Macaca fascicularis: one gene and its partners. Each later gene encodes a partner of the first gene's protein in a complex. Links are inferred from orthologs where the notes say so. Each region holds a gene or a part of one and is shown in the gene's direction. Other genes may lie near its edges. The genes, in order: PRPF3, SNRPF, LSM6, SNRNP200, LSM5, SNRPD3 and LSM3.

Evidence for each region.
Region 2: PRPF3 (region 1) and SNRPF share a complex: the UniProt entries of both Homo sapiens proteins name them as parts of the U4/U6-U5 tri-snRNP complex. The link is inferred for Macaca fascicularis from reciprocal best matches to the Homo sapiens genes PRPF3 and SNRPF.
Region 3: PRPF3 (region 1) and LSM6 share a complex: the UniProt entries of both Homo sapiens proteins name them as parts of the precatalytic spliceosome. The link is inferred for Macaca fascicularis from reciprocal best matches to the Homo sapiens genes PRPF3 and LSM6.
Region 4: PRPF3 (region 1) and SNRNP200 share a complex: the UniProt entries of both Homo sapiens proteins name them as parts of the U4/U6-U5 tri-snRNP complex. The link is inferred for Macaca fascicularis from reciprocal best matches to the Homo sapiens genes PRPF3 and SNRNP200.
Region 5: PRPF3 (region 1) and LSM5 share a complex: the UniProt entries of both Homo sapiens proteins name them as parts of the precatalytic spliceosome. The link is inferred for Macaca fascicularis from reciprocal best matches to the Homo sapiens genes PRPF3 and LSM5.
Region 6: PRPF3 (region 1) and SNRPD3 share a complex: the UniProt entries of both Homo sapiens proteins name them as parts of the U4/U6-U5 tri-snRNP complex. The link is inferred for Macaca fascicularis from reciprocal best matches to the Homo sapiens genes PRPF3 and SNRPD3.
Region 7: PRPF3 (region 1) and LSM3 share a complex: the UniProt entries of both Homo sapiens proteins name them as parts of the precatalytic spliceosome. The link is inferred for Macaca fascicularis from reciprocal best matches to the Homo sapiens genes PRPF3 and LSM3.

Annotation. Positions count from the first base shown.
Region 1 is NC_088375.1:110,918,291-110,922,140, reverse strand, and holds part of PRPF3 (U4/U6 small nuclear ribonucleoprotein Prp3), read left to right. Parts: intron 1-2,402; coding exon 2,403-2,546; intron 2,547-3,194; coding exon 3,195-3,294; intron 3,295-3,408; exon of another isoform or gene 3,409-3,466; coding exon 3,467-3,580; intron 3,581-3,850. UniProt on the Homo sapiens protein: Plays a role in pre-mRNA splicing as component of the U4/U6-U5 tri-snRNP complex that is involved in spliceosome assembly, and as component of the precatalytic spliceosome (spliceosome B complex).
Region 2 is NC_088385.1:102,898,450-102,901,131, forward strand, and holds the end of SNRPF (small nuclear ribonucleoprotein F), read left to right. Parts: intron 1-1,145; coding exon 1,146-1,210; coding exon of another isoform or gene 1,211-1,214; exon of another isoform or gene 1,215-1,246; intron 1,247-1,817; coding exon 1,818-1,884; 3' UTR 1,885-1,956; downstream 1,957-2,682. UniProt on the Homo sapiens protein: Plays a role in pre-mRNA splicing as a core component of the spliceosomal U1, U2, U4 and U5 small nuclear ribonucleoproteins (snRNPs), the building blocks of the spliceosome.
Region 3 is NC_088379.1:151,029,866-151,034,368, forward strand, and holds the start of LSM6 (U6 snRNA-associated Sm-like protein LSm6), read left to right. Parts: upstream 1-1,642; 5' UTR 1,643-1,718; intron 1,719-3,042; 5' UTR 3,043-3,146; intron 3,147-4,503. UniProt on the Homo sapiens protein: Plays a role in pre-mRNA splicing as component of the U4/U6-U5 tri-snRNP complex that is involved in spliceosome assembly, and as component of the precatalytic spliceosome (spliceosome B complex).
Region 4 is NC_088387.1:1,383,519-1,387,368, reverse strand, and holds part of SNRNP200 (U5 small nuclear ribonucleoprotein 200 kDa helicase), read left to right. Parts: intron 1-1,780; coding exon 1,781-1,973; intron 1,974-2,445; coding exon 2,446-2,501; intron 2,502-3,776; coding exon 3,777-3,850. UniProt on the Homo sapiens protein: Catalyzes the ATP-dependent unwinding of U4/U6 RNA duplices, an essential step in the assembly of a catalytically active spliceosome. Plays a role in pre-mRNA splicing as a core component of precatalytic, catalytic and postcatalytic spliceosomal complexes.
Region 5 is NC_088377.1:97,820,203-97,824,052, forward strand, and holds the end of LSM5 (U6 snRNA-associated Sm-like protein LSm5), read left to right. Parts: intron 1-389; exon of another isoform or gene 390-566; coding exon of another isoform or gene 567-645; coding exon 646-741; intron 742-1,334; coding exon 1,335-1,362; intron 1,363-2,222; coding exon 2,223-2,295; intron 2,296-2,686; coding exon 2,687-2,719; 3' UTR 2,720-3,175; downstream 3,176-3,850. UniProt on the Homo sapiens protein: Plays a role in pre-mRNA splicing as component of the U4/U6-U5 tri-snRNP complex that is involved in spliceosome assembly, and as component of the precatalytic spliceosome (spliceosome B complex).
Region 6 is NC_088384.1:28,879,442-28,883,721, reverse strand, and holds the start of SNRPD3 (small nuclear ribonucleoprotein Sm D3), read left to right. Parts: upstream 1-1,193; 5' UTR 1,194-1,282; intron 1,283-2,874; 5' UTR 2,875-2,892; coding exon 2,893-3,018; intron 3,019-4,280. Other genes in the region: protein GUCD1, read right to left, coding at 156-198. UniProt on the Homo sapiens protein: Plays a role in pre-mRNA splicing as a core component of the spliceosomal U1, U2, U4 and U5 small nuclear ribonucleoproteins (snRNPs), the building blocks of the spliceosome.
Region 7 is NC_088376.1:152,442,889-152,447,254, forward strand, and holds the start of LSM3 (U6 snRNA-associated Sm-like protein LSm3), read left to right. Parts: upstream 1-1,407; 5' UTR 1,408-1,448; coding exon 1,449-1,469; intron 1,470-4,035; coding exon 4,036-4,146; intron 4,147-4,366. Other genes in the region: XPC (DNA repair protein complementing XP-C cells), read right to left, coding at 1,060-1,159. UniProt on the Homo sapiens protein: Plays a role in pre-mRNA splicing as component of the U4/U6-U5 tri-snRNP complex that is involved in spliceosome assembly, and as component of the precatalytic spliceosome (spliceosome B complex).

The DNA of each region.
Region 1 (3,850 bases):
CACTCCCCGGCCAGGTTTAAGCGATTCTCCTGCCTCAGCCTCCCAAGTAGCTGGGATTATAGGTCCCCACCACCACACCTGGCTAGTTTTTGTACTTTTAGTAGAGACAGGGTTTTGTCATGTTGATCATGCTGGTCTTGAACTCCTGACCTCAAGTGATCCTCCTACCTCAGCCTCCTAAAGTGCTGGGTTTACAGGTGTGAGCCACCGCACCTGGCCCTAATTTTGTTTTCTGCATTTGCCAGGGATCATTGAATGAGGGAGTTTAACAGCTTAAAGGAAAACAACTAAGAACACTACTTAAGAAAGAGGCTGGGTGCAGTGGCTCACGCCTGTAATCCCAGCACTTTGGGAGGCTGAGGCAGGTGGATTATGAGGTCAGGAGTTCGAGACCAGCCTGGCCAATATGGTGAAACCCTGTCTCTACTAAAAATATAAAAATTATTGGGGAGGGGGTGGTGCGTGCCTGAAGTCTCAGCTGCTCGGGAGGCTGAGGCAGGAGAATCGCCTGAATCCGGGAGGCAGAGGTTTCAGTGAGCCGAGATCGTGCCACTGCACTCAAGCCTGGGTGACAGAGCGAGAAATGACCGGGCGCGGTGGCTCACGCCTGTAATCCCAGCACTTTGGGAGGCCAAGGCAGGCGGATCATGAGGTCAGGAAATTGAGACCTCTGGCTAACAAGGTGAAACCCGGTCTCTACTAAAAATACAAAAATTAACCAGGCCTGGTGGTGGGTGTCTGTAGTCCCAGCTACTCGGGAGGCTGAGGCAGGAGAATGGTGTGAACCTGGGAGGCAGAGCGTGCAGTGATCCGAGATTGTGCCGCTGTACCCCAGTCTGGGCAACAGAGCGAGACTCCAGGCCGGGCGCGGTGGCTCAAGCCTGTAATCCCAGCACTTTGGGAGGCCGAGACGGGTGGATCACGAGGTCAGGAGATCGAGACCATCCTGGCTAACACGGTGAAACCCCGTCTCTACTAAAAAAATACAAAAAACTAGCCGGGCGAGGTGGCAGGCGCCTGTAGTCCCAGCTACTCAGGAGGCTGAGACAGGAGAATGGCCCGAACCCAGGAGGCGGAGCTTGCAGTGAGCTGAGATCCGGCCACTGCACTCCAGCCTGGGCGACAGAGCGAGACTCTGTCTCAAAGAAAAAAAAAAAAAAAAAAACAGAGCGAGACTCCATCTCAAAAAAAAAAAAAAAAAAAAAAAAGATAAGAATGTTTTTTAAAAATATACTGCTGGGCACCAGGCCTGAACTGATTTTAATCTTACTGATCCCTTAACAAGTTTTTTCCGTTTTCTATTTAAAGTTTATATATATATATACACACACACACAGACACACACACATATTTTTTTTTTTAGATGGAGTCTCACTCTATCGCCAGGCTAGAGTGCAGTGGCACAATCTCAGCTCACTACAACCTCCGCCTCCTGGATTCAAGTGATTCTGCTGCCTCAGCCTCCCGAGTAGCTGGGACTACAGGCGTGTGCCACCATGCCCAGCTAATATTTGTACTTTTAGTGGAGTCGATCTCTTGACCTTGTGATCTGCCTGTCCCTGCCTCCCAAAGTGCTGGTATTACAGGCATGAGCCACTGCACCTGGCCTCAATATATTTTTTACATAAAATGTTTATAATAGAGTTGAGTCTCACTTGGTTGTCCAGGCTGGTCTGGAACTCTTGGGCTCAAGCAATCCTCCCACCTTGGCCTACCAAAGTGCTTTAGGCATAAGCCACTGCGTCCAGCCTAAAGTTTCTTTTAATGATATTGATATTTACCTAGGTCTCTTTAATATTCTTATTGCTGTCCAGGCATGGTGGCTCATGCCTGGCCAACATGGTGAAACCCCGTCTCTACTAAAAATACAAACATTAGCCAGGCATGGTGACATGTGCCTGTAATCCTAGCTACTCGGGAGGCTGAGGCAGGAGAATTACTTGAGGCTGCAGTGAGCTGAGATCGGGCCATTGCACTCCAGCCTGGGTGACAGAGTGGGGGGGAAAATATATATATATATATATATAATTTTCTTATTGCGGCCGGGCGCGGTGGCTCAAGCCTGTAATCCCAGCACTTTGGGAGGCCGAGGTGGGCGGATCACGAGGTCAGGAGATCGAGACCATCCTGGCTAACACGGTGAAACCCCGTCTCTACTAAAAATACAAAAAGAAATTAGCCGGGCGTGGTGGCAGGCGCCTGTAGTCCCAGCTACTCCGGAGGCTGAGGCAGGAGAATGGCGTGAACCCGGGAGGCGGAGCTTGCAGTGAGCCGAGATCACGCCACTGCACTCCAGTCTGGGCGACAGAGCGAGACTCCGTCTCAAAAAAAAAAAAAAAAAAAAAAAAAAAAAAAAAAAAAATTTTCTTATTGCTTTGGTATACTAATCTCTGCCCTGACAGTTGACAATGACACACCAGTTACTCTGGGAGTATATCTTACCAAGAAGGAACAGAAAAAACTTCGGAGACAAACAAGGAGGGAAGCACAGAAGGAACTACAAGAAAAAGTCAGGCTGGGCCTGATGCCTCCTCCAGAACCCAAAGGTACATCTCTTAGTGGCCTCTGCTGTTAAAAAGAGTGGCAAGTTTATGTCTTTAATTCTGGAGGAACTTTAACATCTCTCTATGTCTGAGTGATTTCTGTTTCTAAGAATCATTCTTGGGGTCTTTTTTCTCCAAGTGTTCTACCATCTTTTCATATTAAGATAGGTCAACACATTCATTATAGAGGCCATTTAAGGCTTATTTTTAAGCATACTGATCATACAACACTCTGGTTTTCCTGGAAGAATACAGGTCTTGAAATTCATGGAGATAGTAGTTGCAGTATTTGGGTAGACTTTTTATGTACATAATTCTTAATGTTTTAATTTTTACAATGAAAGTGCAGGATAAAGAAATTGCCCCTGTAGTTACATTCTCGTTCAGCAATATTTTGACTGAGGACTGTTATTTATAAACTCTTTCACTAGATGCTGTGATAAGTACCAATCTTCAACTTAATTGTGTGAACTTCTGCAAATGCTGAAGTGATTGGGTTAGATTTTCAAGGTAGTAGTTATTGGAGAAAGTGAGTTTAGAAGCAGAGATTTGAAATAGGTAAATAATATGAATTGGTGTAGAAGAGATAGCAAGTTACTCCAGCTGGAGAAGTGACTTCAAAGATTGACTGCTGTCCTCTCTTCACTGCAGTGAGAATTTCTAATCTGATGCGAGTATTAGGAACAGAAGCTGTTCAAGACCCCACGAAGGTAGAAGCCCATGTCAGAGCTCAGATGGCAAAAAGACAGAAGTAAGTGCCATGGGATTGGGTGGAAACCCCGGGCAAGGACCCTTCCCAAACTCTTCTGGGGGATCCATATTTGGAGGGAGGGGAGAGTTCTCCGTTGCTCTCTCTTTCCCTCAGCCCTGCCTCTGATCTTCAATGCCTTTCTCACTTGTGGATGTCCTTCCTGTCACGACAGAGCGCATGAAGAGGCCAACGCTGCCCGAAAACTCACAGCAGAACAGAGAAAGGTCAAGAAAATTAAAAAGCTTAAAGAAGACATTTCACAGGGGGTACACATATCTGTATATAGGTAGGTGTCCATACTGGGCCGACCTTCCCCTTAGAATTACTAAAACATTTTCCAAGTGCTTGAGGCAGAATCATTGTGGCCTAAAAGCATACCTGACACCAGTTCCTACTCTCTTTTAATGACCCTAGTGTGGATCAAGAGCTAGTAAATCTTGTAAAATAGCGAGGGTTAATGACTTATGTTTATGGTTATCCAAGTCTTCCCTCTGAAGTCTTCTTTTTTTACCAGACTATTAGTTCTGAAAAAATGAACAAATCAATATACTTGTTC
Region 2 (2,682 bases), on another chromosome or scaffold:
TCATGCCTTATGTCACATCCTATTTTGATCCTTATTGTTAAGCCGTGTTTTTCTTTTCCTTTTCCACATGCCTAGTTGTGAAGGAAACCTCCCTCTCTCCCTTCACTCCTGTTAGTGTCGTCGCTGAGTCCCAGGTGGCATTGATTGTGATTTTTCTTTTAATTACAAGTAAAGATTGTTACCTATATGTAGAAGGAAAGCTAAACATTTTGATATAAAATTAGAAATAATAGGGTTCAACAAAATAACTGTAAAAGTCACTGTTAACTATTTAACTTTCACTTAAGAACTTGTTTTTCCCTGTTTATTGGTACATAATTTTAAAAAATTTTCTTATTCAGGCCCAGATGTGGTAGCTCATGCCTGTAATCCCAGCACCTTGGGAGGCCAAGGCAGGAGGATCACTTGAAGGCAGAAATTCAAGACCAGCTTGGGCAGTATAGCAAGATCTCATCTCTACAAAAAAAAAAAATTGTTTTGAAGTAGCCAGACTTTGTGGCACATGCTTTTAGGCCTAGCTACTCAGGAGGTTGAGGCAGGAGGAGCCCAGGAGTTGAAGGTTTTGCTCAGCTATGATTGTGCCACTGCATTCCAGCCTGGGCAACAGAGGGAGACCCTGTTTCTTAAAAGACAGGAAAAGAAGAAAATTCTAACTCAGTTATCTGCTTTGGTTGCTGACTAATATAAAAGTATTTGGCATGCTGGCCATAGCTTTTGTATACCCATTTGGACACCTCAATATGATTTATGTTTTACTCTGAGAAAACTTAACGTCTGGTTCTTTAGAATGAATTTTCAGAAAACTTTTTAATCACAATTTATTCATAGAGACTGCCTTCTTCCACACACTGTTTTGATATCTAATGGAAAGAAATATTACATAACCTGGGAGATTCAGAGGCTTATGTTGAGACAAACTTTATTATATATTTGTTCTATATCCATGAATATTAATTTTATTGAAGGTTTATATGAAACCAAAAGTACTACAGTAGTAATAGAAAGCTCATCCTCTGTTTATTAATTATAGATAAATTTGAGTTGTTGGTATAGGAAGGTCATAGTAAGTTCTCTCACCAGTATTAGCTGTATTGTAATATTTTCCTCCTGTGTGATTATACTAATTTATTTCTTTTTATTGAAAGCTTGCAAATACAGAAGAATACATAGATGGAGCTTTGTCTGGACATCTGGGTGAAGTTTTAATAAGGTAACGAACAGCAGTGGTATATGTAAGGAGTTACTGGTGAGCATTAGGAATACCTGTTCTAAATATATTAGTGCCTCAATTTTGGAAGTACTTTAAAAAAAAAATTACTATTATAATACTTTACAATTAGACTTCAAAAGTCTTTGAAATTGTTAAACTTGTCAAAGGTAAGTTTTCAAATGTTTTAGAACTGGCCAAAAGATTTTTCTAGTGTTAAATTTTCTGGCTCTTAGCTATAACCTTTTACAGTGGCAACCTTTTGCAGTGGCCTTCATTGCAAGAACTTAGTTTTGAATTTTAGTTGGGTCTGGCTGTTTGTAAGGATTTTTGTTATATTGATTCTCTGTACTAGCTTCAAAGCTTCAAATTCTGGTAATTGTTTCCTTTGGAAAATCATAAAGGTGTCATTTTAACAACCATATGGTGGAAAATAAGTGCAATGTGCTTTTCAACAAGTCTATGTAAAACTCTTTTTAAAAACAAATATATTAAAAAATTTTTTAAGACAAGAATATTGTAAATATAGCATTCAGTATTTTCATAATAAAAATACAGTAATTCAGATCATTCTGGTTGGAACAACAAAATGGACTTTTTCTATTTACAGGTGTAATAATGTCCTTTATATCAGAGGTGTGGAAGAAGAGGAAGAAGATGGGGAAATGAGAGAATAGCATCTTTTGTTGGGGATTTTTTTTTATATATATATTTCTAGACAATAAAGATTTGTTTGTTTTTCAACTTGACTTGCGAACTATTTGTATTCAGATATTTACAAGCAAAGCTCAAATGTTGAACCAGTTGGGAAAGATTACTCACAGAACTAATGCTTTAAAAGCCACCGAATTTCATTTAAGTTGCTTTTCTTTTGTAAGCTCAATACTCTTTTTTTTTTTCCCCCATAAAGGATAATTATATGCTTTAGATATTTTTATGAAGGTGAATTTCAGACCTTTTCTTGTAAAATTATCTATTAGCTGCGACCTTTTAAATGCAACGTTTTCAAGTTATTTTTGAGCCACTTTTAACATGTATAAAATTAAACATTTTCTTGGCATTAATAATATTCTGTCTTATTTTACTTAGTCAATAAATTACATGTTAATTCGGTGTCAGTATAAGCTAAATGCACATATTGTAGCTAAAACTGAAACATCCTCTAAAAATTAAAATGATTGTACAGACAGGGCACAACAGAAATTGGGAACTGACATTCAGGCTAAGGGCATATGATTTGTTTACTAAGGAGAAAAAAGTTCTTTGAACAAAACGTAATGTGGAATAAAAACCGGTCTCACAGTTATGTTCTGAGACCATAACTTCGAGGTTAAGTTTTAAGCCTTTCAAAACCCTTCAGATATTTTAGAGTTATACATTGTTAAAATGTATATTCCATAGTAATAACAGCATGCTATGAACTTCCCTACAGATGGGTTGAGAAAATATATCATTTACATTCTCATGTTGTAAGA
Region 3 (4,503 bases), on another chromosome or scaffold:
CTAAACGAAACTAAACTACGTAAGTTAAACTAAATCTTGCCAAAATATTTTTATGACTTTAAGCCTCCTTTATAAATTAATGTTCACATTCAGGGTTTTGAAGACTAGTATTCAGCAAAAGTCTTGCAATGTTTTCTTTGCATCATAAAAGATGCTGAAAGCAAAACCCTGGGAAATATGGAAAATTGCCTGAGTTAGTAAAAGTCATTTATAAGCTGCTGAGGGGCTTTTGGGAACAGCTACACTTTTTATAAACTTGTTAGCTCATGAAATAATTCAGGATGCCCACCCCGTGTGTCAAACTGGGCCCTTACCCAGCTACTGCCCTTGGAGAAGGCTGCAGCTGCTCTGCAGATGAACTAGGCCCTTAAAACTCCTCATGGCTCCCTACCCACCACGCTAGTGTTAACAGCTCAATTAGGGCTCTGTAGGAAAGGGAAAGAAGTTTTAATCAAAATTTTATTTTATTTTTTTTAATAATTTAAACAACCAGTAAGGAATGTGCAATTTGATGTCTTGCAAAGAAAGTTTTTAGGAACAGGCCTTTTTATCCTGTTATGTTTGTACTTTGCAAGTAATTATTTGATTTAAACAGTCCTTTTCTTAAAATTTTTATTTATATTATATTTTATATTGCAAGAACTTCAAATACAGTCCTCTCAATAAATCAGTAACTGTTTGGTCTTTACCCAAACTGAGCTTTTATAGAAGGATATAAGGAAGTCTCTATTCTTTACCAAATCACATCCACTTGTTTTCTGTCCCTGATATCAATCAAAAGTTCATTTCTTCTGCCTTTAGCCAAAAGAAGGTTACAAGGGAGGAATTCTTTATCTCAGAAAAAAATTCTGCATCTTAGATTTTATAACACCTAATGGGGTTAAGGATCTGTGTTGGAAGATCTTATTGCTTTGTGTATAGCGTTACAAACCATAAATAAAATTAAAGTAAGTTTTCAGCTGATGAGAGTAAAGGAATCAAGTCTTGGGGTAACAGTTCTCTTTTTTTCCCCTTCCAATCCCATTAATAGAAAGTGTTGAGAATTCATGCAAAATTCCAAACCAAGTTCCCATAGTAGCACTTAAATAATGTCTGCACACCATTTCCAATTGGAACAAGTTTTTAATGTAACACAATTAATGTCATTATAATTCGGAGTTACTTGAGTGATTTTAATTATTTTTTAATCAACATTGCCATGGAAACAGTCTCTTGCTAAAATGGCTTAAGTCTTCACACATTTAATCAATATCCAGAGGTAGATTTAAAGACTTGAGGTGTTTTATTTATTTATTTGCTTTAAACTATTCAAGGACGTTTCTGGGTACACAGTGCCGTTACTTAAACAGTAAATTCCAGTTTCCTATGACTTCAAGTTATTTTTTACACTTCTGCAAATAAATCCTGGACAAAAGATCACTTCTAGTTTCCTGGATTTTTGTTTTTGTTTTATATTATATTTGTTTTGTATTCAGATTTCTGTCAGAGGAACTCCAGTGCACCAATTTTGCTACTAGACAAAACAGGATTCTCGGATTTGCGCGCTTCGGCGCTGACAGGCTTTTCGGCCCCAGCGGGCTGCCGTAGCAGAGAAGAGCAGTGATTGGCCGAGGCAGAAAAGTGCCGCTGCCTCGGCGGTTTCGCTTTTGGCTGCGATCATCCGCGGAGGCCGGACTCGTGGGGCGCCTGGAGTGAGGGTTCTGGATCCCGCCCGCGAGGTGAGCCGCACGGCTGCGCGGGCCGATGACGGGGCCGGGCGTAGCCCCGGGTTCGACGCCCCAGTGTTCAGTCGCGCTGTGGAGCGGCGGCTGCAGCTGCCCTAGGCCGGGCGAGGCAGCCCCGGAAAGGGCCTGAGGGGAACGGGCTGGGGCTCCGGGAAGGGACCGCTGAGTGGCAGCTTCCCGCGAAATGCCGCGTCCAAGCTCTCCGCGCACGGAATGGCCGGAGAGGTCTGATGGTGGGCGCCGGGACCGCCCTCAGCGAGGTGCTTAGACTGCGCAGAGAGTAGCGGCACCGTCCCGGCTCCCACCGAGTTGGCGTCCGAGACCAGTTCAGGTTGTTGAAGTTCCCCAGGGAGCCCCGAGGCTAATCCCAGGATTCGGCGGGAAAGCGGATCCCGAACCCAGGCCTAGGCTTCGCCAGTCTTCCAGGGCTTCAGGGAATTGCGAACCCTTCCCTACATCGGGGTGGCTGCGCCTGACCACAGGAATTAAGGACTCGACTCGCCTGTCTTACTGAGTTGTCAGGCCTAGGAACCCAATTGTATGGTCTTAAGTCCTATCGCCCGAGGTTTTCTGTGCGTTCGCGTGTCCGCGCGCGTGCATAGCAGGCGTTTTTAAGATGTGTAGCATTAGGATGAAGCGGATTACCCTACCCCACTGCTCTTAGTAATATGTGACTATTGTAGAAAATTGCAAACATGGAAGACTTTAGTGAAGAAATAGTATTCACAACCCTTTCACCTACAATCTTTTTCTCCTGTGTATGCTAGCTTCTACTTGAGCTAAGAGTGTACATGTTTAATCACTTAACAGTATAGTTTACCACTTCCATTTAAAAACTCTTCCTAAATATTATTCTAGTTTTGTATCTTCTTTTGATTGACTGTCCCTCATTGTGGATCGCAATGTAGGTCCCATAAATTATTCAGTCATTTCCCGATTGTGGGATATTATAGATTGTTTTTGAATTTTTGAATCTCTTAGCACCCCAGATAATACTTTGATAAACCTTTTCCCCCCTATTTTTTAGATTATTTCCTTGGACTAGATTCTCAGAAGTGAAATTATCAGATTAGATGCTTTCATCTGTAAGGCCTTTTTTAGGCCTTCGTACACATTGCTGCAGTGTTTTCCAAAAAAGTTTTTCAGGTGTTTGGCAATTTTACTTGCTTGAATATTGTACAGAAATCTTGAGAGGCTTATGTTTGTGGGTGTGTGTGTGTGTGTGTGTGTGTGTCACTGGAGTTAATGCGTTACTACCTGAATGTTAGGGCAGGAAGAGACTTAAGTGGTCATCTGGCATAACTCCCTTATTTTGCAGATGAGGAACCTGGGGCCATGAGAAGTGAAATGATGAGTTATCCAAGTCACACAGCTAATTAAGTAGCAGAGCTGGGATTAGAACTCAGGTTTCCTGCCTCCCAAGTGAGTACCCTGTGCTGCATCAGGCAGTCTCTCACTGAACTCTGGCATAGTAGATATTAGAATTTAAAAATTTGTTTACATCACCTGGATTATTCTCTCCTTTTAAAAGTGTACTAACAGATTAATGATCGGAGGGACCTGTAACACTGAGAAATTGGAAAGTGATTATTTTCATGGCCAAGACTAGAAATCCATTATTTAGAATGGCAACCCCTTCAAGATTTTGACAGTTGTTTTCAGGTTCCCTTTATGTTAGAATAAAACATCCCTGATTAATTATAATCTACACTCCATCATTTGGTTAGAATGTAGCTTTTGGTTATCATTTGCTGTACTTTGGAGATTTCTTTAAAACTCCTCACTTTAAAACCAAAGAACAACGTTGTTGGTGGTTTTTTTTTTTAGGGCTTATAGCGGAGATTCTCAGCTTCCATTGACATTTTGGGCTGGACAGTCCTTTGTTGTGGAGGGCGGTCCTGTTGTAAAATGTTTAGCAACATCCCTGGTCTCTACCCACTAGTATAGCAGTAGCACCACCTTCCTCAGTCTTGACAGTTCAGTGTCCCCAGATACTTCCAAATGTCCCTGAGCAGGGTGGGGTGGGGTTGGGGAAACTGCCCCTAGTTGAGAACCATTTGCTTAAATAAATTATCTGGAGAACTTCATAAAATGTAAAATACAGTGCTTTTACCTGAGTAGACTTCAGGAATCTGCATTTTAACAAGCATCTCTAGATTTGGAAACAGCTGGTTCTTGAATGACAGAAAGGGTTGTTTTCTCCGTCTTTGGTGGTCCTAATAGAGATTACTTGGTTAGTATTTGTTGAAGTACGTGCATGATCCTACTAGTCACTGTATCCATAGTTTGGGTTGGTGGGGGCTGGACAGGGATTTTGCTTGGCACTGGCCTTGAATGTCTCTTCCACAGACTTGGGCAGTGTGCTTAGGTACCAGGGATACCAAGTGAGTAGGATATTTCCCCTGTCCCCAAGGAGCTTAAAACTCACCATGGGAGACCTGTCAGCAAATGGAAAAATTACAAAGCAGCCTGATAAGGACCATGACCGAGAGTTGAAAGAGGTGCTGAGTGGACTCACTTCGCCTTTGGGAGAGAGGGAGAGAAGTAGCGCCTGCTGCTCAGGAAGGAGGGATTGGTATGAAGCCTTCACAAGACAGCGAGGCACTCCACTGTGTCAGAAGGGAGGACTTGGAGAGCTGTTCTTCTCCGTGTCTGATCGCCTCCTCAGACACTGATCTGTTAGTCTAGTGCTGCAGTTACTTGGATTGTAATGTTTCCTTGCAAGTTTTTGCTTTTCAAATTTTTTTCACCCTAAACTGTAAATATGCTAGGAGTAGGT
Region 4 (3,850 bases), on another chromosome or scaffold:
TGAAATATATATTCGGTCTTTGTTTCATTTCCCGGCATACAGCTTCTATGATCCTTGGAATCTTCGAAGTGATAAGCGTCTTTTTGTCTGCTGATGAGTTAACTGATGAGTTAAGCTATCTAGGCAGCACCTAGATAGCTTCAGAATGGAGGCTGGTCATTTAATCAATCTGCCTATGTAATGAAGCCCCCATAAAAACCCCAAAAGGACTAGGTTTAGAGAGTTTGCGGATAGCTGCACACATGGAGGTTTCCGGAGGGTGGTGCGCCTGAGAGGGCCTGGCAGCGCCATACCCTTTCCCACATGATACCCTTTGCCACATGCCTGCCCTGTGCACCTCTTCCGTCTGTTGTCTGTTGGTAGGCATCTTTTGTAATATGCCTTACAGTAAAAGTAAGTGTGTCCCGATCTGTTCTAGCACAGTAGTTGAATCCCAAAAGGGGATTGTGGAAAGCTCGATTTGTAGCTGTACAGTGAGAAGCACAGGTCACACAACCTGTGCTTGTGATTGGCATCATGGAGTGGAAGGCAGGCTTGTGGGACTGAGTCCTCAGCCTGTGGGATCTGACTCTTATCTCCAGGTAGTTAGTGTTGGAACGGAATTGAATTTGAGGACACCAGCTTGTGTCCACTGCACAATTTTTGGATTGGTTGCTGGTGGGGAGGAATTGTCACAGAAGCCTTCTGTGTTAATTGTTGTAAAAGTATAGAAAAAACAAATTTGCTTTATTTCTTTTTTTTTTTTTGAGTTGGAGTCTCGCTCTGCTGCCCAGGCTGGAGTGCAGTGGCGCGATCTCGGCTCACTGCAGGCTCTGCCTCCCAGGTTCGTGCCATTCTCCTGCCTCAGCCTCCCGAGTAGCTGGGACTACAGGCGCCTGCCACCACATCCGGCTAATTTTTTGTATTTTTGGTAGAGATGGGGTTTCACCGTGTTAGCCAGGATGGTCTCGATCTCCTGACCTCGTGATCCACCCGCCTCGGCCTCCCAAAGTGCCGGGGTTACAGTTGCAAGCCACCACAGCCGGCCAAGTTTGCTTTATTTCTATATTCTCAGAGCGAGGCGGCCAGAGGATGAGACCGTGTGTCAGAAAAGGAGAGGGTCACAACTGGGAGGCTCCAGATGAACCTTGCCTCTGGATCCCCTTGTGGGATGTACTGGTCTGCAGAAGGGGCTTGTATTTACTGAGCACTCGATTTGTGTGGAACAGCACGTGTCTTTCTCTCACCCCCTCATGTAACTCCGTGAATAGGTGCTGTTAATACTCATTTTCCATTTTATAGAAGAGAGATGTGAGGCAAGAATAATTAAGTAATTTTCCCAAGTCACAGAAGTAGTATTTGGCAGAGCCAAGATACGATCCAGATAGTTTATATCTAGAATCTGTGTTCCTAACCGTTACACATGTGTGATTAGATTGGGGACCATTATGAGTCTGAGGAGCTCTGTTGATGTGGGTGCTAGAGGAAGTGAGGACAAAGAATTACAAAAGTGTGGCAGGCTAGAGGAGATCTGCCAAGTGACTGCCACCTGGAGATGTGGCAAGCTGTTGTGGAAGCTGTGTCCTGCTGCTTGAGGCCACCTAGCTAATCTTTTTAAAAACAGATGAGTCTTCCTTTAGTTGTGGCATTTTAAATCAGCATTAATGAGAAAGATCAGAGCCTAGTATGCAACAGGTTTTGAGAAAGTGTGGCTGTTTGCATCCTGCCGCCACATAAACCTGGTTGGTGATGTTCTGTCTGTCATCATTCTCAATATTGATTGGTTGTTTCTTGCTACCAGCCACGTGATATCCTTTGTGGGGCAGCTGATGAGGTTCTAGCTGTTCTAAAGAATGAAAAGCTGCGGGACAAGGAAAGGCGAAAGGAGATTGACCTGCTGCTGGGTCAAACAGATGATACCAGATACCACGTGCTAGTGAACTTGGGAAAAAAGATCACCGACTATGGTGGAGACAAGGAAATCCAAAATATGGGTAAGTGAGCTCTTTATGTCCTGATCATGTTAACTGGTTGTTGTTGACCCCTAAGTATGCATCTTCTAGCATCATTCATTTAAAAACCTTAGTGTCAGTGAGTTCCCATAATTTGTTGTGTGTTTTTTGAAGAGTTATAATTGATAGACACCAGAATCCCTAGATTTCAGCAGCTGTTCCTTACTCTGAGACCCTTTTGTTGTGTAGAATATGGGAGAAAATGTGGGCAGAGCCTTGGGGGCTCAAGTGGTTGAGCAAGCAGAGCTGGGCTGACTCCAGGGCTGGCAGGTGGAGAAGGTCTTGGCAGTGGCAGCATAGGTGGCTCTCTCGTGTTGATCATCTAAGTGCCTGTGTGTGTCCTTAGCACTTAGATCTTTCCTGAGGAGAGGTAGTTGGGGAGGACATTGGCTCCAGAGTGGCTTGTTTTACTAGCCATTCACTGCCCTCTTTTTCTAATCCTTCGTCGTTTCAGATGACAACATTGATGAGACATATGGTGTGAATGTGCAGTTTGAGTCTGATGAGGAGGTGAGTGATAAACAGGCCCAGTCCATTCTTGTTTTTGAAGTTGATGAAGGTAAAGGGACCCCTTGTAGTGTAAAGAAGCTCCCTAGTTTAAACCAGATACATTTTATGGTGGTGTGTGGGTTTCAGACTTAGGCATTATATGTTCTTTTGCTTAAAAAAAATGCAGTTATCTTTTAACTTTTCTACAGCAAATTTAAACTAACAAATGTAAAGCAACGTAATTATTTAAAATATACCAAGTGGATCAGCAAAAAGAAAGACAAAAGATAAAGTACAGTGAATACTTTGAGAATGTATCTGCTATGTTTTACTGCATTTTAAACGTATTACAATATTTTCCCTTTTTTCATTACTGTGTCCCCACTGCCTGTTTCAAAAGATTGCACATTTGCCTTAGAGCATGGCTGTAGTTCGTACATGGTTAAGTCACTGGAGTTAATGTTTACCGTCTAATAGAATTCCTTGAATATAAATAGGAATAAGTGGGGTACTTTGAAAAAATTACAGAGTGCCTTAGAGTTCTCAGTGAGTAGATTTGGCTCCTGAAAGGGAAAATGGATCCCTGGTATATATACCAGGGCTGGAAGAAGGGGTTGCATGGGGAGAGTTAGAGGACTAGGAGCCAAGACTTCTGAATTTGAGTCCTGTATCTTGGCAGGTCATTTTGCCTCAGTTTCTCTTTCTATAAAATGAGGCGATTTCAATAGGTGTTTGCTAAGCCACTTCCTACAGTATAGTTAATAGGATTTGATGATTTTAAGTAGCAACAAACTGCTTTGCTTGTAGCAGTTCATTCATTTAGCAGTGCTCGTTACTGAAGCACCTGCTTTGACTATGACACTGTGCCAAGTATGCCTAATGTGCAGTGTATGAGTAAATGGAGTGGTGAGCAAGCTTAGTGTGATCTCTTCATTCCCGAGTCACCATCTGCTTTCCCAGACGTGCCTCTGCATAGCTCTTCTCTTCTGTTAGCTGATCACTGTTTTTGAGTGTTGATTGTTTGTGTATTAGAAAAAGGCTATGGTCCAGTTGATTGCCATTGTGGCAGCCTAAGGTAAGAAACAGAAAGTAGGTGCATCTAATAAGTCTGTGCCAAGCAGTCTTTCTATTACATGTCCACTGGAATAAGGCTGACCTTGGTTCCAGTAGGCTCTCGGTTTCACCCCAAAGCCATTTCTCTAACCATTGAGCTAATTTAGGGTGACTTGAGGGAGAGGTTCTGTGGTGATGCAGGATCAGCTCCAGATAATGGTTGAGTTGGGGCCATTTCCACAGGAAGGTGATGAAGATGTGTACGGGGAGGTTCGAGAAGAGGCATCTGATGATGACATGGAAGGGGATGAGGCTGT
Region 5 (3,850 bases), on another chromosome or scaffold:
AGATCCCCAGATTAGATAGACCATGTTATGTATATGGTTGACACTAACACCCTGGTCCGGAATGAGCCTTAAATGAGGAATCTGGAAACTAGCTCTGTTTGTTATTTATTCATTCAATAAGTAGTAACTGAGTATCTATACACGAGATACCGTGCCTGGGCATTTTTCAACGATAAACTTAAACCATAGCCATTGCCTTCAAATAGCACACAAGCCAGTGGAGGAGAGAATACTGGACAAGTAGACATCCTGCTACATAATGCTAGGCTGGCAAAAGAGATGTTCAAGCTGCCGTCAGAGCACAGAGGATAGACAGAGTTGGGGGAGGGAAGCAGTGACAGAGTTTCCGGTGAATATAATTATACCTATCTCCTCTTATGTTTTTGTAGCTGGTGAAGAGTGATTGAACTAGTGGTCGTGGCCGTGATTGAAAAGTTTTCATTCCTTCATGCCACAGACTCTTTTGGAATCCTCATTACGCGCCAGATGCTGTGCTTAAACTGAGATTTGTATTATAAGACCTAAAGTTATTGAATGAATGTTTTTCCTGGTTTTTCTTTCACTATATGCAAGTAAGAGTGCCAGTAGGCACTCAAATATTTGTTGAAATAATGAATGGTAAAATAATATTTTTTCCCTCCTCAGAACTTGTGGACAAATGTATAGGATCAAGAATTCACATTGTGATGAAGAGTGATAAGGAAATTGTTGGTACTCTTCTAGGATTTGATGACTTTGTCAGTATCCTTTTAAAAGGTGGTGGTGGTGGTATAGGTTTTTCTTAAGTATTTAATAACGTAAGAACTATAGACAATCAGTATATTTGTGATTATTATAATAAAATCAGTTCATTTTCAGGGAACTTATGATAATGTTTTAAGAGGTATGTATTGAAAGACGGTAAAGTTCCTATCAACAACAAACATTTTGAATTTGAGCCGTTGTGTTAAACATTATAATTAAAACTGAACAAGCGAGCCCAGTGGCTTACACCTGTAATCCCAGCGCTTTGGGAGGGCAAGGTGGGTGGATCGCTTGAGCCCAGGAGTTTGAGACCAGCCTGGGCAACATGATGAAACCCTGTCTCCACAAACATTACAAAAATTAGCTGGGCATGGTGACGTACACCTGTGGGCCCAGCTAATCTCTGGGACCGAGGCAGGAGGATCCTTTAAGCCCAAAAGGTGGAGGCTGCAGTGAGGTGTGAGTGTACCACTGCACTTAAGCTGGGATAACACAGCGAGACTTTGTCTCAAAAGAAAAGAAAAGAAAAGCTGAACAAAGGCAGAAGCTGGAGTAAATTCTCTATTTGTTTTCTTAACACCAAATTTCAGATATGGTACTGGAAGATGTCACTGAGTTGTGAGTAGTGTTAAAGAATTGGGGGGGAATCTCTTCTTAATTAAAGACAGTTTTACTACTTTTGAGTAAAATTATTTATGAGAAAACATTACCTGTTGGTAGAATAACCTTAAAGATAGAAGTTTTATCTGTTTGCTTGTAAAATTGGATCAGTGTTATTACCTTAATTTAATTATTAGTAAACTCCTAGACAATTAGTGGAGACAGTTTTAAGGTAGAAGATAAAAGAGCTAGGAATTTTAGGGTTCAGGTCAAATCAAGGAACTGATAGTAAGAGCATTTAGACTGGACATGGTGGCTCACCCCTGTAATCCCAGCATTTTGGAAGGCCTAATGAGGAGGATAGAGCCTGGGAGTTTGAGACCAGCCTGGCCAACAAAGGGAGACCCCTGTCTCTATAAAAAATTTAAAAATTAGCTGGGTATGGTGGGGGGCAGCTGTGGTCCTAGCTGCTCTGGAGGGTGAGGATCCCGTGAACCAGGAGTTCTAGGCTGCAGTGAGCTATGATTGTACCACTGTACTCAGCCTGGGCAATAGAGCAAGACCCTGTCTCTTAAAAAAAAAACAAAACCCAAAAAACATTTCATTTCATATTTGATTTCTTGGGCAAGCTTTGGCTTCTTTTTATGAAGCTCTGTCTGACAGATGTGGATCTTAGGTCAGTGAGTTCATTCTGTTGCTTTTAATGAAGGTTACATTACCTAGTGGATAACCTTTGTAACTGAAAATTGTCGATATAATTGCCCAACCTCAGAGTAATTTGTATACAAGGATCACCTTTTTAGGGAGGGAAAGTATTTCCAAAATGTTGGCTTTGATTTTCACTGTTTATCCTGACTGTATTTTATCTATTCATTTAGTGAAATCACACCAGAAGGAAGAAGGATTACTAAATTAGATCAGATTTTGCTAAATGGAAATAATATAACAATGGTAAGACACATTGAAACTGTTTTGTTTAGATGGGAGCCCATTTTTCTGGGGCAGTGATTATAGAACTAACCTTAATGTTGCTTGCTTAACTAAATGATCATGGCCCAGTGGTGCGTAAGATGGGAAGGGTGTTCTCTGTGGTCAGGGCCCTAAAGCTCAGCTATTGAAGAGGCATTGGGTCTAAAGGTTAGTTTGCTTCGAATTTTTAATCGCTGTTGAGATAGTAAGTATTAATTGATGATGTTGGAAATTGTGAATAGATATTGACAATCTGGAGAAAATGGGAATGTGGAGCGCAGAGGACAGGCAAAGGTGGCTTAAGGAAGAGCAAGGGATTTTTAGATGACATGGTTGTTGTGTTACTAATAAACTCTTTTTCCTCTTTATGCAGCTGGTTCCTGGAGGAGAAGGACCTGAAGTGTGAATGAGTTTTCTTGACTTAGCTAGATTCTGTTTTGTCTTTTAATGACAAGAAAATGGAATTTTTTTCCCCCACCTTCTAATGTTTAAATCCCGTAAAGCTAAGTTTCCCGTTAAAGGGAAGTGCTTTGAAGATGTGTACCCATTTTTGTAAGTTAATCATGATTATCCTGGAAAAAGAAGAAAAGAGCTTCTTCTTTGAAGACGAAAATAAAGGTGTTTTTGGTTAATTGTCATTTTATTTATTGTACTGCAGTAGCCAGTGGAACAAAGATTGTGGTTATTTTGCCACTTACTTTTCTGTCATTATATGCTTATTTGCTTTCTCATTTACATGACCATTTGATTCTCAAACAAAAGTCGTTCCAGACAAAATGATGAACTTTGATTTGAACAGGTGCATTTAAACAACTGGAAATGATCACTTAGAAAATTAAATTAAAATGCTGTTGTTTTGTAATGAGGATTTTTCTACTGATTTCAAATTCCATGAACAACTATTGAAAACAAACAATATACAGGTAATATATGCACATTGTAGAAATGCGGGAATTATCTATTGGAATTTCCCTAAAGATACAAATTTTATCTATTTGTTTATAAAATTGGTTCAGAGGGTTATTACCTTAATGTAATTATTACTGAATTGCCAGGAAATTAGTGGAGACAGAGCTTTAAGGTAAAGGATACTAAAAACAGCTAAGAACTCTGGGACTCAGGTAAAATCAAGGAACTGATAATAAGATCATAGAACTGTATAAATTAAGTCAAAGAACTATTAAAAACAAACAGGTAATATACACACATCGTAGGATTATAAGTAAGCAAAAAGGAGAAGGTTGATCATGCTTTGCTGTATGTCTTCATAGACTTTCTCAGTCCACTCTCAGTACACATTTTATTTTACTTGTTCATCCTGATTTTTTATTCTCCACTTAAGCCATTTTTTGAATTTAAATGGTGAATATCTTTCCATGTCAAATATTTCAACATTAATGTATACATAATATTAAATGGATTTACTATAAATTATTTAGCCTATTCTTACCACAGTAGTCTAACTAGATCTTTATACATTTTTATTTTTCTAGAATAAACTAAAAAATGTGTAAGATCAAAGGGTGTATATTGTGTT
Region 6 (4,280 bases), on another chromosome or scaffold:
TGCCAGTGTCAGGAAACCCCCACTGACTGGAGCGAGGCGGGTGTGGGGGTGAGGCGGGAGTCGGCCCAAGGTCGCGCGGCTGGACCCTGCCCCGCGCTAGGGCGGGGTCCCCTTCGTTCCTAGGGTGAAGACTGGGCCCACAGAGAGGCACTGACCGGGCTCGAGCGGCGGCCCCGCTGCCTCCGCCTCCGTCCTCATGACCCGGGCGGCGCGGGGCGCCCATGGCCCCGGCCCAGAGCGGGCTACAGCTTCCGCTTCGGCTGGGGCGGTAGGGCGGTCGGTGCGTGTCGAGTTCCTTCTCCGCCACCGCCGCCGCTGCGGAGGGGAGAACCGGAGGCGGTGGCTGGGCCGCCCCAAGCCCCGCCCCAGCCCTTCCAGGTCTCGAATCTGGAGGCCCCGCCCTTTCTCTAAGCCCCGCCCCAAACTTTGATCCTAGAGGCCCCCAGCCTCCCGATTTAAATCTGCCCCGGCCATTCACCGCCTCAGCGTCGAGTGACCCAGCCCTCTCGTCCAATCCTCGCGCAGCCGCGAAGCCCAACAAGACGCGGACCCGGAAGCTCCGCCCCTTTCCTTGAGCCCCGCCCCAAAGCCCGTGCATTTCGTGAACAGAGGCTCCTCCCTTCAGCAAGCCCCGCCTCTGCCGGGGCCCGCTCCTTTGCCAGTCTTAGCTGTAAACCCTGGTCCGGCCCAGTGTATTCCGGAGGCTCCAAACAACTCTCCTTAAACTGCCTTTAGGGATGACCCTGAGCCGGCCTCCTCTCTACTCTATACCTAACTTTATCCGTACGAGATACGTAGCCTCACTCAGGGCGCCCCTTACCTGGCGGTGCTGGGATCAAAAAATTAAATTGTGAGGGGAAGTCCTGGCCCTTGGCCCAACCTCCTGCTGCCCCCGGTCTGAGGGCCCAGGCCCCGAGTCTCCGCCTTGCCGTCCAGCCTGTCCTTGGTGTGGGGCGCTTGGAAGTGCAAGCACCCTCTCTGGCTCTTTGCCGGCCCCAAGGGTCGTTGTTTGCGGCGGTCCCCGGGCCCAGTCTTCGGCCCTCTTTTCCGGTGCCGGAACTATCGTACTGGTGCCTTAGTTTCCCAGCCGGCACGCGGGGTGAGGAGGAAGCGGAGGCGACACCGCTCTCACCACTGGGGAAAGGAAGGAGGCGGGCCCTGCGCGCAGCATTTTGGGAACGAGTGGAATTCTGGGAGCTGGGCCCGCCATTCTCTTGATTCACGCCTTCGCCGTAGCGGCTTTCGCCGTGCACCGAAGAGAAGGAAAAGTAGGCCAGAACCGGTGAGGCTGGGGACGGGCGAGGGGAGGTCGAGGTGCCTGTGAGGGGCCGGGGGCTGGAGAAAGACTCAATGCATGAACTCTGCGGGATTCGGGGAGGGAAGAAAGCGGGAAGTTTGGACCACCCAAACATCAGCGTCGCCTCACTAGCGCCTGGAAGTAAGTTCATTAGCTGCTCCCTCAATGTGCATGCTTCTTACATTCTGTATCTCTCCAGGTGAGTGTTTTTCAAAGTTTCCAGGCAGTAATCTTGAAGTTATTTCCTATGAGTTTTTTGAATCTTGAAGTCAAATCCTATGAGGGTTTTTTTTTTTTTTTTTTTTAAAGTAGAGACGGTTTCACCATGTTACCCTGGCTGGTCTCGAACTCCTGGGCTCAAGGGATCCACCGGCTTCGTCCTTCAAAAGTGTTGGGACTACGGGCGTGAGCCATCGCGCCCAGCCGGTCATTTTTTAAAAAGTTCTTTGCATGTCTGCCCCCAGCTCCCTTTCAGGCAGTGGTCCCGTCATGCTTTCCACACTGTTGCAGCAGTTTTAACTGTTGCAGAAATTTTAACAAGTTTCTCTGCTTCTAAACCTTACGTTAGATCCATTTTGTAAATAAATGCTGCTACCTTTTCATTGTGTCATTCTTTACCTATAATTTTGCAGTGGTTCCCCACTATCTTCAGCATAAAATCTAGGCTCCTAAGGCTGAAAGCCAGGGATCCTCACCAAAGGAGCCTGTCTTTTCAACCTCATGTTCTCCTGTCTTAGGTGCACTTAGGTTCCAACTTTGAGTCGTCGCTCATGTCAATAAAAAGTTCACTACTTGATGCTTTTAATTAGGTCAAGTCAGGTGCTTTCCCTTATTTTCCTCCATGACGGGCATTTCCTGCATATAGCACGTTGTCACTTCGATATTTTCTCAATATCCTTGATGGTAAAGTAAGGGAAGGGTTAAAGAGCTGCATTAAAAGTACAGTCTCCTCTCCTAGATATGCATGGTCCTTAGGTCTGTATCTGCTCCTTCCGTAGGGTAGCCACCAGCTACATGTAGCTGTTGAGCACTTGGAATATGGCCACTGGGATTGAGGGACTGGGTTTTTTATTTTAATTCTATTGTGTTTTAGTTAAGTTTAATTTAAATAGCTACATGTGGACATGAGCTACTGTATTGGACAGCTCAGGCCTGTGTTATGATTCTCAAAATATAATAATCTACAATTAAGGGTTGACAAATAACAGTGCAACAGATTAACATTCCAATCCCCCTCCCCTACACACACAGTATTCGCTAATGGTCCTTTAGCTGAAGATTAAGGGACATAGGGTAGCAGGGACACATGGTCGATGGGAGATGCTCTCTTTTCATTCCTATTTTTACTTCTGTCCACCCCACCATTCCTCCTCACCCGACATCTTGCACATATTTGCCAGATAGTTTCCTCCAAGCCAGGAGCTGAGCTTTCTTTTTTCTTTTTCTTTGATAGAAAATGCAGCTTTGGCGTTTTTGCTAAGTTTTATGGAGTGCCAGGCCTTGAAGGAGGCATGACGTGTGCCGCATGCCTTCTCAGACTCTGAAAGATGAACTGACTGTTGTCTCTTTCACTGTAGAGCTCTCTTCCTGCCAAGATGTCTATTGGTGTGCCAATTAAAGTGCTGCACGAGGCCGAGGGCCACATTGTGACATGTGAGACGAACACCGGTGAGGTATATCGGGGGAAGCTCATTGAAGCAGAGGACAACATGAACTGCCAGGTATTCTGCTTTGCATGTGAGGCTGTGTGGGAGGAATGGCCCTGTGTCTTGAAGGACAGAAAGGTGTGGGTTGGGGGTCTTCTGTAAATTGTTCTCATTCAGCAATGATTTCCTGAGTGCCTAACACATACCAGTCAGGTGCTGTTATAGGCTCTGGGGATGTGGGCATGAACAAAACACATAGTCTTGAGGCAGAAAAGCCATTTGGAGATTTGGAATATTTTACTTCGCCTTTTTTGTTTTTTCCATCCCCAAATTTGGGGACCTGTTTGGGAGAAGTTCCTTCAGTAGAATCCTTCAGGTTCAGAGCCATTATCCATTTGCCTCCACTTGCTTTGCAGTTAGGAGAATCTTCTCACATACTGTGTTTGTTTCCCTTTTCTCTTGGAGGAGGAGTCTCATTTGATTATTGCAACTACCTTGTGAGGTAAGCAGGTTTGGTGGTAGTCTTGTCATCCATAAAATAGGGAGAATGAGATTAAAGGACTCATCACTCTGATAGTAAATAATGGAGTAGTTTCTTGATACGGTGTCCTTCTCATGGCGCAGCTTTGCCTTTTGCATAGTCATCTGAATTTTTATAGCATTGTTTTTCAGTTGTATCTTCACACTTTCTTTGTTCTTTAAACCATTGGTTAAGAACTTGGACTTGGGAGTCAGAGAGAGATGTGGGTTTGATTCCTAATTATATGACCTTAGATGTATTAATCACTCAGTTTTCTCATCTGTAAAACGGGAGTGTTATTATTTTGGGTTCTTTGATGTAGATGCCAAGACAGAATTATGCAAGGTATTTATTGGGGGAAATGACAATAAAGGATAAAGGAACAAGGAAACAGTAGTAGGCAGGGAAATTTTCAGTCCGTGATGCTGGTCTGACTGGTGAAACGAGAGGGGAAAGAAGGAGGATTGAGCAGGAAGAACCTTAGACTACAGTGTAGTTTTGAGGAAGTCTCAGCAAGGCAGTGATTGCTCATTAGAAGAGTCTAACATGGGGCAGAAATGGGCAGACTGGCACCCCTGGTGTGTTCATTCCATTGGCTGGCAGCCTGGGGAGACAGCCTCTCTCCCCAAGTTGAATGCCATGGTGGACTGCAAAGATGGAGATTGTCGGCTGCCTTCACTCCTCATAGCCTGTTTTCTTTTGGAGGGAGATCTGAGCAGCACACCCTTAAGACTGCCACAGGGATAATATCCACACCCCCAGGACTTTTACAAAGATCAGATGAGCTATATGTGTGCAATAGCTGCTCGGTGCCTCA
Region 7 (4,366 bases), on another chromosome or scaffold:
CTGACTTGAGATTTGAAGAAATCAGCCCTGGCAAAAGCCATGGTGGGGGGTCACTCTAGGCCGAAGGAATATCAAAGGAAAAGGCTCAAGAAATAACTTGGCATATTTGAGGAAGAGAAAGGAGGCCAATGAGGAGGGTATCTGGCAAGGAAACAAGTGGTAGGAGAAACAGGAGAGGTAGCAAGAGCCAAAACACGTAGCATCTTGCAGGCCAGGATAAGACAACTGGGTTTTAAACTAAGAGCAATGGAAAACCAAGGAGAGTTTAAAGCAGGAGCATGGCATGATTTTTTTTTTTTTTTTAAAGATTATTTGCGTTGCTGGATGCAGAGCTGGGAGGCCAGTCAAGAGGAAACTGCAGTCACTCAACTGAAAGGTGATGGTGACTTGGACAGGGGTTGTGGCCATGGAAATGAAGAGAAGTGGACAAATTTGAAATACAGTCTGAGGCTGAACTGACTGGACTTGCTGACGGGACTGGATGTGTGCACATAAGAAAAAGGTGGACTTTGTTTTATAACAAGTATTGGGACTGGAAAAACGGAGGAAACCATAGATTTGAAGGGGAAGACCATGAGCTCTGCACTGTCCACGACAAATGTAAGAAGCCTATCCAATATCCACGAGGGGAAGTCAGGTGGGATCCCACTGTGGAACTCTGGGCGAGACTCAGCTGAAGTTATCATTCGGGAGTCAGCACACTGCATCACTCTACGTCCTGGTCCGTCCGTCCGTTTTCCTGGGACACAAATAACTGCCTTCTCCGCGTTCAACCCTGAACATCTGCGCTGTATCCTCTGGACAACGGGGAGCGGGAAAGAAGCTACGCAGGAGCTTGGGTCGGGCGAGGCTCACGGGAAGCCGCTCTGGGTGCAGAGGACAAAGGCGCAGGGACAGCGGGGAGGGCCGGCCGCGGCCTGCCGTGCTGCCCCCACTGCGCGGAACGCGCGCAGCAACCTCCACCCGGCCTCCGCGTCTGGACTCCCGCCGCCCCTGCCTCTGGGCCTCCTCCGCCCACCGGCAGAGTCTCCCGCGAAGCCCGCTGGGCCACGCTCTCACCCTCCTCCTCCTCACGCCGGGTCTTGCTCTTGGCCTTGGACTTCTGGCTGCGCGTTTCGCGTCCCCGCGGCTCCCCGCCGGCCGCGCGCTTCCGAGCCATATTGCTTGTCGGGGAAAAATCCACTTCGCGAGTGACGCACCAGGCCGCGATGCGTTAGAACGCAGGCCCCGCCCCGAGGCGGGCGCGTCTGGCCGCGCCCCTTCGTTGGAGGCCTAGTCACGCCCCCAAAGGAAGCTCCGCCCCATACCCGTGGCCACTAAAAAACCGCGGGAAGCAGGCAAGAGCACAGCAGGTTTCTATTTCCGGTGTATTGTAGCATCACGTTTCCGGAGCTCGGCGTTGCTCTTGTGTTCTCGCGAGAGGCGGGAAAGGGCGCAGGGTTTGAAACATGGCGGACGACGTAGACCAGGTGAGTGAATTTTAAGGCGGTGGCTCGGCGCCGCTTCTTGTACTAAACTGCTTTTTCCAAACGCAGGAAAAATGGCCAGTCGCGCCTCTTCTTTCCAAGTCACACGGCCTAATCCGCCCCATCCTTTCCGTAAACACCCCTGTCCGAATTTTGCTGCAGGCCCTGAGGTCTTTTCCGTTAGAAGGCCACCTGATGACTATTCATCACACTCTTCGCTTTGTTTTTTTAAATCTGTAAATTATTATGCGTGCCTACCTCACGGAGCTGTCAGGATTCCAATAGAAAGCCAGATAATAAAGTTAGGAGTTGTTATTACTGAGCACAACAATTATTTACTCATTCAGCAGAGAGAGTGAACATCAGCTTTGTATGGTTAGACACTGTTCTAAGAGCCAGGGACACTGACATCGATATATAAGTGATCCTTGCCATGACTTGGAGCTTATATTCGCGAGGAGAACAGATAAATATAAATATGTAAGATTTATAGGAACTGTGATGTGCTATGAAGGAAACAAGGAACTGGTATGCAGAATAACAGATGGTCCTAGAAGCTTTTTCACCTGGTCTTTTTCTTCCTCAAATATCTTTGGAGATCATGCTACAACTTAAACTTTCTACTGAAATCTCACCTCCTCAGAGAGGACTTCTGCCCAAATAGCACTCCCCCTACTCTGCTTACCCTGCCTCATTTTTCTTCATAGAACGTTATTTTTTCATATTAAATGTATGCATCTTTGTTTAATGTGTATCTCTCCTGACTAGAATGTAAGTGCCATAACAGTAGGCATTTTGTTTTGTTCATTCTTTTGTCCTTGGGGTTTAGAACAGTGCTGGAAATACTCAACAAATATTTGAGTGAATGAGTTAGATGATCAGAGGAGGCCTCTTTTAAAAGCCAATGTATAAAGCTACAGGATGAAAAAGAACAGAAAGTGGGCATCCCAGACAGAGGCTTAGGTAGCAGTAGAGCTCTGTCATGTGCATATTCTTACAGTATTATAATTATTCATATGCCTATCCACATTAGAATGAGCTCCTTGAGGGTGGAGATTGTGACTTCTGTATCATTGTAATCTAACAGTTGGTTATCAGATCCTTTAACAAACACCTGTTGAACTGAGGGACATAGGGACCAGTTGAGTTAGGTTATTTTTTTTTCTCTCATCGGGCCTTTTGAATCTTTAGCGCCTGTTACGAATTCAGTTACCTTCCTCCACTGGCCTTGTGTGCTTACTAAAGAAGCTCTCCTTGAATCATCTAACTCTTTAATGGCTGCAACCCTCCCTTCCATGTGGGTGACCCCAAGTCATCCTAGCCCTGACCTCTAAAACCAGTGTTTCCAGCAGTTCTTTAATAATATAATATTAGTAGGAATCTTTTCTTTTCTTTTTTTTTTTTGGATGGAGTCTCACTCTATCGCCCAGGCTGGAGTGCAGTGGCGTGATCTCAGTTCACTGCAACCTCTGCCTCCTGGTTCAAGCGATTCTCCTGTCTCAGCCTCCCAAGTAGCTGGGACTACAGGCACGTGCCAGCACGCCTGGCTAATTTTTGTATTTTTAGTAGAGACGGGGTTCACCATGTTGGCCAGGCTGGTCTCAAACTCCTAACCTCAGGTGATCTGCCTTTCTCAGCCTCCCAAAGTGCTGGAATTCAGGCCTGAGCCACCACGCCCAGCCAAAAGGAACCGTTTCTAAGTATTAATATTTTCTGCTTTCCTGGCACTGTTTTAAATGCATTAACTAGTTTCATCCTCATAAGAATCCAGAAGGAAGGTTGTGGCTTTCTCAATTACAAATGAAGAATCTGAGAATTACAGATGGCATGATTTTTAATCTCAGTTCATAAGTGTCAGGTCACAGCCAGGAGTTGAACCCAGACTGCCTGACTCCAAAGTCAGTGCTTGCTTGCTTGTTGGCACCATCTTGGCTCACTGCAACCTCCACCTCCCAGGCTCAGGCAATCCTCCCACCTCAGCCTCGGAGTAGCTGGGACTACAGGCGCATGCCACCATGCCCGGCTAAGCCAGTGCTTTGAACCAGTGTTCTATTCTGGCTACTAAATATTCATCTTACTGGCCAGTTGGCAGCCTAACCTCAACCTGTGCTGAATTCATAATCTTCCCATAAACCTACACCTCTACTTGGCATTCTGACTAGTATATGGTAGGCATTAAGTGAGTGTTTTTCCTATGATTACATAATATTTGAGATAAAGCTAAAGTTCCTAAGACCCTATACCCTGAAATCGGGTCAGGCAGTTTGGATTTTGAGGGAACAAAGTATAGTCATGATTATTTTGCTGTGTAACTCCTTCTTATGTATGCGTGTTTTAATCTACATTTATATAGCACATACTATGTGAAAAGTTCTGTTCTAAGCCTTCATATATGTCACTTAAGCCTCATAAAAACAGTATTAGGTAGACACTATTATCTCCATTTTACAGATTAGGAGACTGAGGCAGAAAAAGGTTAAATAACTTGCACATGGTCATACAGCATAGCAGTGATTTAAGCACTACTTTATCTCTAGTACTATATTACTAAACCTGTTTCTGTTATCAGCAACAAACTACCAACACTGTAGAGGAGCCCCTGGATCTTATCAGGCTCAGCCTAGATGAGCGAATTTATGTGAAGATGAGAAATGACCGAGAGCTTCGAGGCAGATTACATGTGAGTAAATTTATCAAGTTACCTTGAAATCAGATTCCTTCCCACCCCCACTCCCTTGAAATGTAAAACCTGTCCAGAGTGAAAAGGTATTTTGAAGGAAGAGAGGGTAGTGGAAAATCACCCATGTTTCCATAAGCCAGATGAAGCTGCATGTATTCACATTTTTAATATTTTTTCTTTTAATAGAAGTATGTTTATTATAGAACATTTTTATTCCCTT